Linked DNA regions of Neurospora crassa OR74A. The protein of the gene in region 1 interacts with the protein of each later gene in a pairwise test. Links are inferred from orthologs where the notes say so. Each region holds a gene or a part of one and is shown on either strand. Other genes may lie near its edges.

The links.
Region 2: the proteins of ypt-1 (region 1) and NCU01907 interact in binary tests that used the Saccharomyces cerevisiae proteins (3 or more experiments, as listed by UniProt). The link is inferred for Neurospora crassa OR74A from reciprocal best matches to the Saccharomyces cerevisiae genes YPT1 and SED5.

The regions. Positions count from the first base shown.
Region 1 is NC_026502.1:3,521,410-3,525,576, reverse strand, and holds ypt-1 (small GTP-binding protein), read left to right. Parts: upstream 1-1,437; 5' UTR 1,438-1,710; coding exon 1,711-1,721; intron 1,722-1,980; coding exon 1,981-2,104; intron 2,105-2,174; coding exon 2,175-2,222; intron 2,223-2,290; coding exon 2,291-2,518; intron 2,519-2,576; coding exon 2,577-2,777; 3' UTR 2,778-3,658; downstream 3,659-4,167. Other genes in the region: NCU08476 (hypothetical protein), read right to left, coding at 1-182. UniProt on the Saccharomyces cerevisiae protein: The small GTPases Rab are key regulators of intracellular membrane trafficking, from the formation of transport vesicles to their fusion with membranes.
Region 2 is NC_026501.1:2,073,962-2,077,930, forward strand, and holds NCU01907 (syntaxin 5), read left to right. Parts: upstream 1-1,157; 5' UTR 1,158-1,688; coding exon 1,689-1,967; intron 1,968-2,037; coding exon 2,038-2,567; intron 2,568-2,622; coding exon 2,623-2,728; intron 2,729-2,796; coding exon 2,797-2,835; 3' UTR 2,836-3,466; intron 3,467-3,611; 3' UTR 3,612-3,874; downstream 3,875-3,969. UniProt on the Saccharomyces cerevisiae protein: Required for vesicular transport between the endoplasmic reticulum and the Golgi complex. Acts as a target organelle soluble NSF attachment protein receptor (t-SNARE).

The DNA.
Region 1 (4,167 bases):
GGTGACGATGATGCGCCACTAACTTTTGTTGTTGATGATTTGGTTGGCGGCGGCGGCTGTGATGAGGTCGGTTGCGAATGTGTTGGAGGCTGGTTTGAGAGAAAGTAGGATCGGCATTGGGATGGCTGTTGCTTGCCCACCACACCACCAGCAGCTATTCGTATCCTCGTGGGCGCCGACATGGTGCAGTGGGTGTTTTTAAACACTTTGGTGGTCGGGTACCTGGGCCGACACGAGTGGACTCGCAACGTGGGCTGTCGGAACACGCCGCGCTGAGATGGACAGTGTAAGTATGTATACTATGGGGTGTGTATAGGGCTGGGATCGATGCAAGATAAGGCCGGGTTGAATGCAATTTGCAAGAGTGTGAAAACGCCAAGTGGTTGACTTGTCTCTCTGACGAAGAGTGCCGCACAGCGGGTGGAATGATGTCAGTGACGGATTGGCTCGGATGGTTGACCACAGAGCTGATAAGAGGGTCGGTAATCGGGTGGATCGGCTTCCACTTGCTCACCGGATCTCCCCACGGACAGGGATTCCAATAGTGATGTTTTGTGGGGTTGGATCTTGATCATCAACACTCTATCCATGGACATTGTGTAGGTCAGGAGGCTTTGAGAGCAACCTAGTTGCATACAATGAAACGACATATGCTTCATCGTAATTTTGGTTGTGGTCAAATATCCAGAACCTTGAGGTCTCATTTCGTTCGTACACTTGTTTCACATGAGCCTTATCTTATCGGCATACATATGTAAATGTGCTGGATGATGGAACCTAACTGAAGCTAGAAGCTTCCTAAGATCAGGAGTCCGTTGGACCCGTGAATCAATGTTGCTCCCAAATCCAAAAAAAAGGGAATCATTCATTCATTCATTGATCCATTCATTCATTCATTCATTGATACATTCATTCATTCAATGGAAGCCCATGTGGACACCGCTCAGGTGGCCCAGCCTCCAAGTCCACGATAATAAAGGTAGCCATGGGAACAACGGCCAAAGCACTTTCGAGGTATACCAAAACAAAAAAGTTCCGTAGCCGTACTTTGTTGTCGTCTCTTGGACAGAGAATAACCTGGAATCTCAACCACATTTCATCATCATTGTTTTTTTTTGTCTTTTTTTCTTTTGGGACTTGTTTAGCTGTGAAATGCACATCATCGGGACGACTCCAAGATTGTTAGTGCAATACCGTACATACCGCAACTGAAGTGGGAAAGGGTCAGGAGGCGGCTGCTGCGTCACGTGCATCGTCACCGCTTGAGTCCCCTGTTTTGGATGGATCAGTGTCCCGCCTCTTGGCCGGCGGTCGCCAATCACCCCCCCGCCCGGAGAGTGTGCGGGTGGTGTGGGTGGGCTGCCACTGCCACTCGCTGCCAGCAGTCAGCCAGGACAGCCGAGGGCGCTCTCCCATTCCATCAACTGCCCGTGTTAAGTTGCTCTGCGTGTTGCCCGTTCCAGGTTCTATGCTGCGTGCTGTTGCTGCCTTTCCATCCGCCCACCTACACTAGACTTCTACAATCCTCCACATCATCAATCAACCAACAGACCGACCTCCCACCCCCAACGACCTACACCTAATCTCATTCAGCGAAACCATCCATCTTTCGCTCCACCACCGTCCACCTTACGATACCCGCCTTATTTCTTCGCTGTCCAACTCAACCCAACACCACCACATCGCATAGCGCGTCCCTCGTTGCCCATCATGAACCCTGAGTAGTAGGTTTAATCACGTCTCCTGTTGCCCTTCTCCTGCTCTTCCCAAATCACCGTAAGCCGCCGCCACGCTGCCGCCACCTACAATCATCGCCGCCGCCCGTATCCCATGTTGTTTCCATGACGGATTGCTAACATGTTTAACCTTCAGGGTGCCCACCGCTTCCCCTCTTCACCCGACGTCGTCCCCTTCCCTTTCGCGACTCGACCGATCACCGCCGCCACCACCCCCAAAGAACCCTGCTGACGATGCAACCAGATACGACTACCTCTTCAAGCTCCTCCTCATCGGTGACTCCGGTGTCGGAAAGTCTTGCTTGCTCCTTCGTTTTGCCGACGATACCTACACCGAGTCCTATATCTCCACCATCGGTGTCGACTTTGTACGTCCTGCTATCCTGCCTGCGCAACACATGCGTTCGACCCCCATCAACATGCTGACCGTTTGGCTAGAAAATTCGCACTATCGAGCTTGATGGCAAGACCGTGAAGCTCCAGATCGTAAGCAACCCCCCGGCACTCCTGGACACTTTGGAAATCCAAATTCGCTGACCCAGTCGCTTATTCAGTGGGATACCGCTGGCCAAGAACGTTTCCGTACCATCACCTCTTCCTACTACCGTGGCGCCCACGGCATCTGCGTTGTCTACGATGTCACGGATATGGACTCTTTCAACAACGTGAAGCAATGGCTTCAGGAGATTGACCGTTACGCCACCGAGGGCGTCAACAAGCTCCTCGTCGGCAACAAGAGCGATATGACCGACAAGAAGGTTGTTGAGTACACAGTCGCCAAGGTACACAGCCACCCCTAACCCTCGTGTCTAAGCCACATACTTACACATCAACCAACAGGAGTTCGCCGACAGCCTGGGCATTCCCTTCCTCGAGACCTCCGCCAAGAACGCTAGCAACGTCGAGCAGGCTTTCCTTACCATGGCCCGCCAGATCAAGGAGCGCATGGGCAGCTCCATCGCCACCAACAACACGAAAGCCAGCGTCAACGTCTCCCCCGGCCACGGCGTCTCCAACAACTCTTCCGGCGGCTGCTGCTAAAGCGTCTGTGCCTTGCGGCATTGGTTGCGCTCTTGGCGTTACGGTTTCGCATCGGACGGTGTTTGACGACATGATGATGCGATTGAATGTTACGGCGTGGGCACTGGGTTGAGCTGTGATGCAAATGCTGCTCTAATGGGATCTCAGTTGGGAATGTTTCGGCTCTGCTTCTGTGGTTTTGCGAGGAACATGGGAGGAGACTTGGGGCGGCTTTACATGCTACCTTGGGAATTCATCACACGGTTCCGCGGGCTCTTCTTCGCTTGCCGGGACAGGTTAGGGTGGGGCCTAAGAGGATGGTGATCGAACGCACCGGAAAAGGGAGCTTAATAGTTGGCTCATCACCAGTGTCCGTCACGATTCCTGGCAAAGGGCAAGGGGGGAAAGAGTGGCTGGCTGAGACATGGGATGGGCGGCGGGCTTCTTAGAGAGCTTCCACGACCCTTGATGATGTTGGGGGTGTGTGTGTTGCGTGTGTGTATTTTCGGTCTTGGGCATAACTGAGGACGCGGCACGGTTTTTTTTTTTTTTTTAAACACATTTGTTACTTTTGGTTTTTTTTTTAAGGAGCTAGACTACAGTTTTTGCTATTTTTGTGTTTTGAGGCAAACCCACTGATCTTTCCATGCTACAGCTCTCTCACACATAGAGGAAACCTTTCGCTTCAGAGAGATGACCGGCACATTTACACCAAGAAGAACCACACGTACAGGCACACCCATGCATAAAAAACAAATGCTCACCAGACTTCAAGCCCTTAGCCAGCTCTAGACGTCCTCGATAGTTACTCGCGCTTGATGAAGTCTCTCAAAGTGACGGACTTGGTTATGCTAGTAGAGTTTGATAGTCTAACTGGATCTGTAAACATTGAGATTTTGGACATCCTGCCGGCTGATCCAAAGGCCACGATCAGACTGCTGTGGATAACCCACTCTCCAGGGTCTTGACAGCAGTATATTTATGAGAAGTCCAATCGACGGTCGGTAAATGCCCCTTGTCCCATATCACGGATAGTATAGCCAGCCATATCAGAGTTGAGGATTTGTTGTGTTGAAGCACCCCAATTCAATCAGTAATCGCAGGTATCAACCGCTTCAAGGATTGAAGAGACACTCGGTTTTAAAAGCTTGCTTTACAACTATACCCGTAGCCAGGATCCGACTTTCCATCTCTTGTCAGGCCCTCTTCTTCCCATCCATGGTGACTTTGCCTGCACGCTATACGTATCTCTACCTACGTTTTCCCATATCCACTGACCCCGGGACTCTTCGCCCTGCGTTGATGATAGACTAACAGCAGCATAATAGTGAGTGAGTAAGTGAGTAAGTGAGTAAATGAGTACCCAAGTGAGTCAAATGAACTTGTTGCGTTTCAACACTTCTCTTCTCTT
Region 2 (3,969 bases), on another chromosome or scaffold:
GGATCAGCAGCCCAGGGCAGCATTGGAACGTCAGGCGGACGTGGGGCGAGCTTTAATGAGACAGGCTATTAGACTCTCCACTCTGTAAGGCACTAACTGAATGCCACCGCACTCGGCCGCGGATGCAGTTAGAGAAACCTGTGGCTCTACATTTTCGGAATATGTAAGGTATTCGTAGACCTCTTGGGTAGAGGTAGGTGAGGTGAAGCCGAAGGGAAGCTTCTTTTAGGTTTACGAACTCACTACACAAGGGGAAAGTACTGATAATTTGCATTCAATTCTTTAGTCAAGTATAGGTATCTGGAGAGAGAGGCCTTCACGGCGACGCTTCTACGGGGCATTCAGGCCTCAGCAAACCACATAACTCGCCAGGAAAGGGGGGAAAATCCCATTTGAATGAGAATTAGAAGTGCTGCAAGTTGTTTGGTTTTGTGAAGCCCTAGTTCAAAGGCAGTCACAATGGCTCTAGAAATGATACCCCGGATTTCATCCGTTTTTAGAGTATCTACTTAGAGGTAATTCTTAGCTACCTACTTTGGTTGCGCCTCGATCGATGCTAATGGCGTTCCACCCTTGCTGGCGCTGCAGTGACAGGCCTTGAGTTTCTGGTACCGCTCAGCTCCAAGCGCCCGGCCTGACGTTCATTCATGTACTAGAGGTAGTACCCCAAATCCATGGGCCGCAGTGGGTCAGAAACGCAGTAACCCAGAGGCCAGGGGCATTCAACGAAGCGTCTTCCCATTCTGACAGACGTGACCCCATCATGTAAAAATGACATACCTCTAGTCACATCTCACACCTTTGGCTCGGATAACCAGAAATTCATCTCCCATTCTTGGGCTTTTGGGTCTGAGTGTGGGGGCAACCATACTATTCCAAAGAGTGGCAAAAAAATACAATGTGAAAGAACATTGAGTTGCAGTGCCGAGGTGTTATCGACTTCAAGGTTGATCGGGAAGTTGATTCTTTAAAAAGACTGGGCTGATGTCCAATCAAATGTACTACTAGCGAGTCTAGCTTAACTGAATGCTTAACAACAGTGTCTTGGTCAGTCAGCTTTGGATTTTTGCACTGTGAGCTTTTCTTACTCAACTGCAGGGGCCGAGCCACACACTGCAGCGTCACGGGCCCTCCTGAAACTATGTAAGTAAAGTAACCACGTTTTCCCTTTATCGAACTCCCGTCGCTGATGACAACAACGGAGGAGCTTGTTCAACCTCGACGACCACGACACCAACCATTTGACTCGACGACGGCGACGACCACGACCACGACGACGAACTTATAACACCGCCACTCATTCATACGTCATCGCGAGTCCATCGTGTAGCGCCTTTCATAAATACGACCTTCAATCAACACACCCACGACCAGCCGCCGACCTCCTCGCCAGTCGCGAATTAGCCTCGCTCCCGCCGCATCCCCCGGATCCGCCCATTTCCACTTTGCCAATCCATAATCTCCTCCGCAAACTCGCAGCCTACGAGTCGCATTCGCCCCCGGTCACGATTGACAAAGTTGACGACGTCTCGATTCCTGACTTACGAACTCCGACGTGTTATTGATTACGACTTAACCGCGTGCCGGTTGCTCAGGGGTACACGCGCCCCTCTACGACCCATTCCCCGCGATTAGCTGTTGGAAACGGACGGACTACCGCCTCAGCATATACCGATACACCTCTAATTATGGCTGTCTTTGCCATCAACGACCGAACGGAAGAGTTCCGACAGATTGTTGCGGCTGCCCAGCGTAGGCAGGCCACAAAGCCAGGAAAGCAGCGACTTCTGGACACCGCTCAACAACATGCTGCCAGCAGCGATGCCCAGCCCAGAAGGTCTGAGTTTGCGAGGGGGGCTGCAGAGATTGGAAGGGGTATCTCTGCGACAATGGCCAAGCTGGAAAAGCTAGCACAGCTGGCCAAGAAGAAGACTCTTTTCGATGACAGGCCGGTCGAAATCAACGAGGTAAGCTGGGTCATGCGCTTGATCTTTGCGCGCCTCGACTCCATAACTGGCTGGCTAACCATTATGTTAGTTGACCTTTGTCATCAAGCAAGACCTGTCTTCGTTGAACGAGAAGATCAGGAACCTGCAAGATCTCTCTAGACGTCTGCACCCGAAGCCCGACCAAGAAGGGGAGAACAACAAAAACATTCTCCTGCTCCTACAGGGCAAGCTGGGAGATGTTGGTGCTAATTTCAAGGACGTGCTCGAAATCAGAACCAAGAACATTCAGGCGTCGCGGTCGAGGACCGAGAACTTTGTCTCGTCAGTAGGTCAGCACGCACATGCTTCCTTGCAACAATCTGCGTCACCTCTGTACGGCACGCCTAGTAGGGGAACGCCAGCACCAGGGCAGCAAGATCTGATCTCGCTGAACCCGATGGGAGATCAGCAGATGCAGCTCCAGATGTTGGAGGAAGGCCAAAACACCTACGTCCAACAACGAGGGCAAGCGATCGAGGCCATCGAGTCGACTATCAATGAGCTGGGTTCCATTTTTGGGCAGCTCGCGGCCATGGTCAGCGAACAATCTGAGATGATACAAAGAATTGATGCCAACACGTAGGTTTGTCTCGAGACGCTCGACACACCAGCACTGTACTAACACACCATGCAGAGAGGACGTGGTAGAGAACGTCGAAGGCGCGCAAAAAGAACTGCTCAAATATTGGAGCCGTGTTTCAAGTAATAGATGGCTCTTAGCCAAGATGTTTGGTGTTTTGGTAAGCCCAGTATTCCTGCTCTGTTACCTATGCCCTGCATAAAACTCTAACGCTGTGCGACTTTGTAGATGATTTTCTTCCTTCTCTGGGTATTAATTGCCGGGTAGACGGCAGTTGTGGCGGCGTTTCAGTAATATTATACTTCTTCTTTATAATGCATGCAGAGGCGTCTCTTGTAGACTTTATGCATTAATTATACAATTTCTCTTCCTCATGAAGATGCGGTTCTTTTTTTGCATGCGCTCTTCCATGTCCTTTCACTGTTCCACAACATAACCTCTTGCAAGGCTGATAGAGCTCAGGTATACCTCTGGATGGTCGGTGGGGGCATTTGATTATTTATACCTACTTGCCGAGGAAGTTGGCTTCAGCATAGGGATCAAGACTCAAAGTTCGCTCTCGGTTCATCTAAGGTCAACAAATACTTAACCGACGGAATTCGCTTACGCTAAATGCCACCAATAGAGGAACAGGTTTAGACTAAGCACTCCACGCCCCCAGTTCCTGCAACTGTAATCATTTCAGTTCCACTCAGCTTCGGTACCTGGAACTAATGCTCTCCGCTCGAGCCCCAGAAAGAAACCCAGAGCAAGCGAACACGACGGATCCACTCGGCCACTCACTGTTACCACTATCTATAGTAGAGCGGACCGACACCACAGCAAGGTCTCATTCCGACAGAGGGGCAATCGTTCCGCCGAGGCCCTTGTTAGATTCAGCCAAGTTTCGCGGGGTAAGGTGAGAGGATGCCATCCGTTCCATTGACCGGATGTTTGTTGCTGGGGCTATCTTTGGCGAGGTTGTCGATATCCCACCTTCGAAGTACTGTCTGATATCTTAACGAAACGCCGAATGCCATCGAGTACTGACTAAACACGAAAAGACAGAAGCCCCGAGTGCCGTATTTCTGGACGCCTCAAACCCAAGTTCACGATGTTCGAGTTACACAATGGCGTGTCGATGTTCCGTTGTTACTTCCATCCACGCTGTCCATGAATAATTACAGTCGGAATTTCAGGTCTCATGATTACCTAGTCAGGTACAGACAACATGAAGAAAAAGAATCATTACAAACATGTAGCTTTCTCGGAATCGATAACACCATAACTATCCCCCACGCTCTAACGCCGATTGCCATTTAGCCGAATGTCCAGTGTGGCTCAAACCCTGGACAACCTTCTCCTCGAACGTAACTTGATATAACTGGTCAATCCTCCTCTGTCTTTCCTTTCCACTCTCAA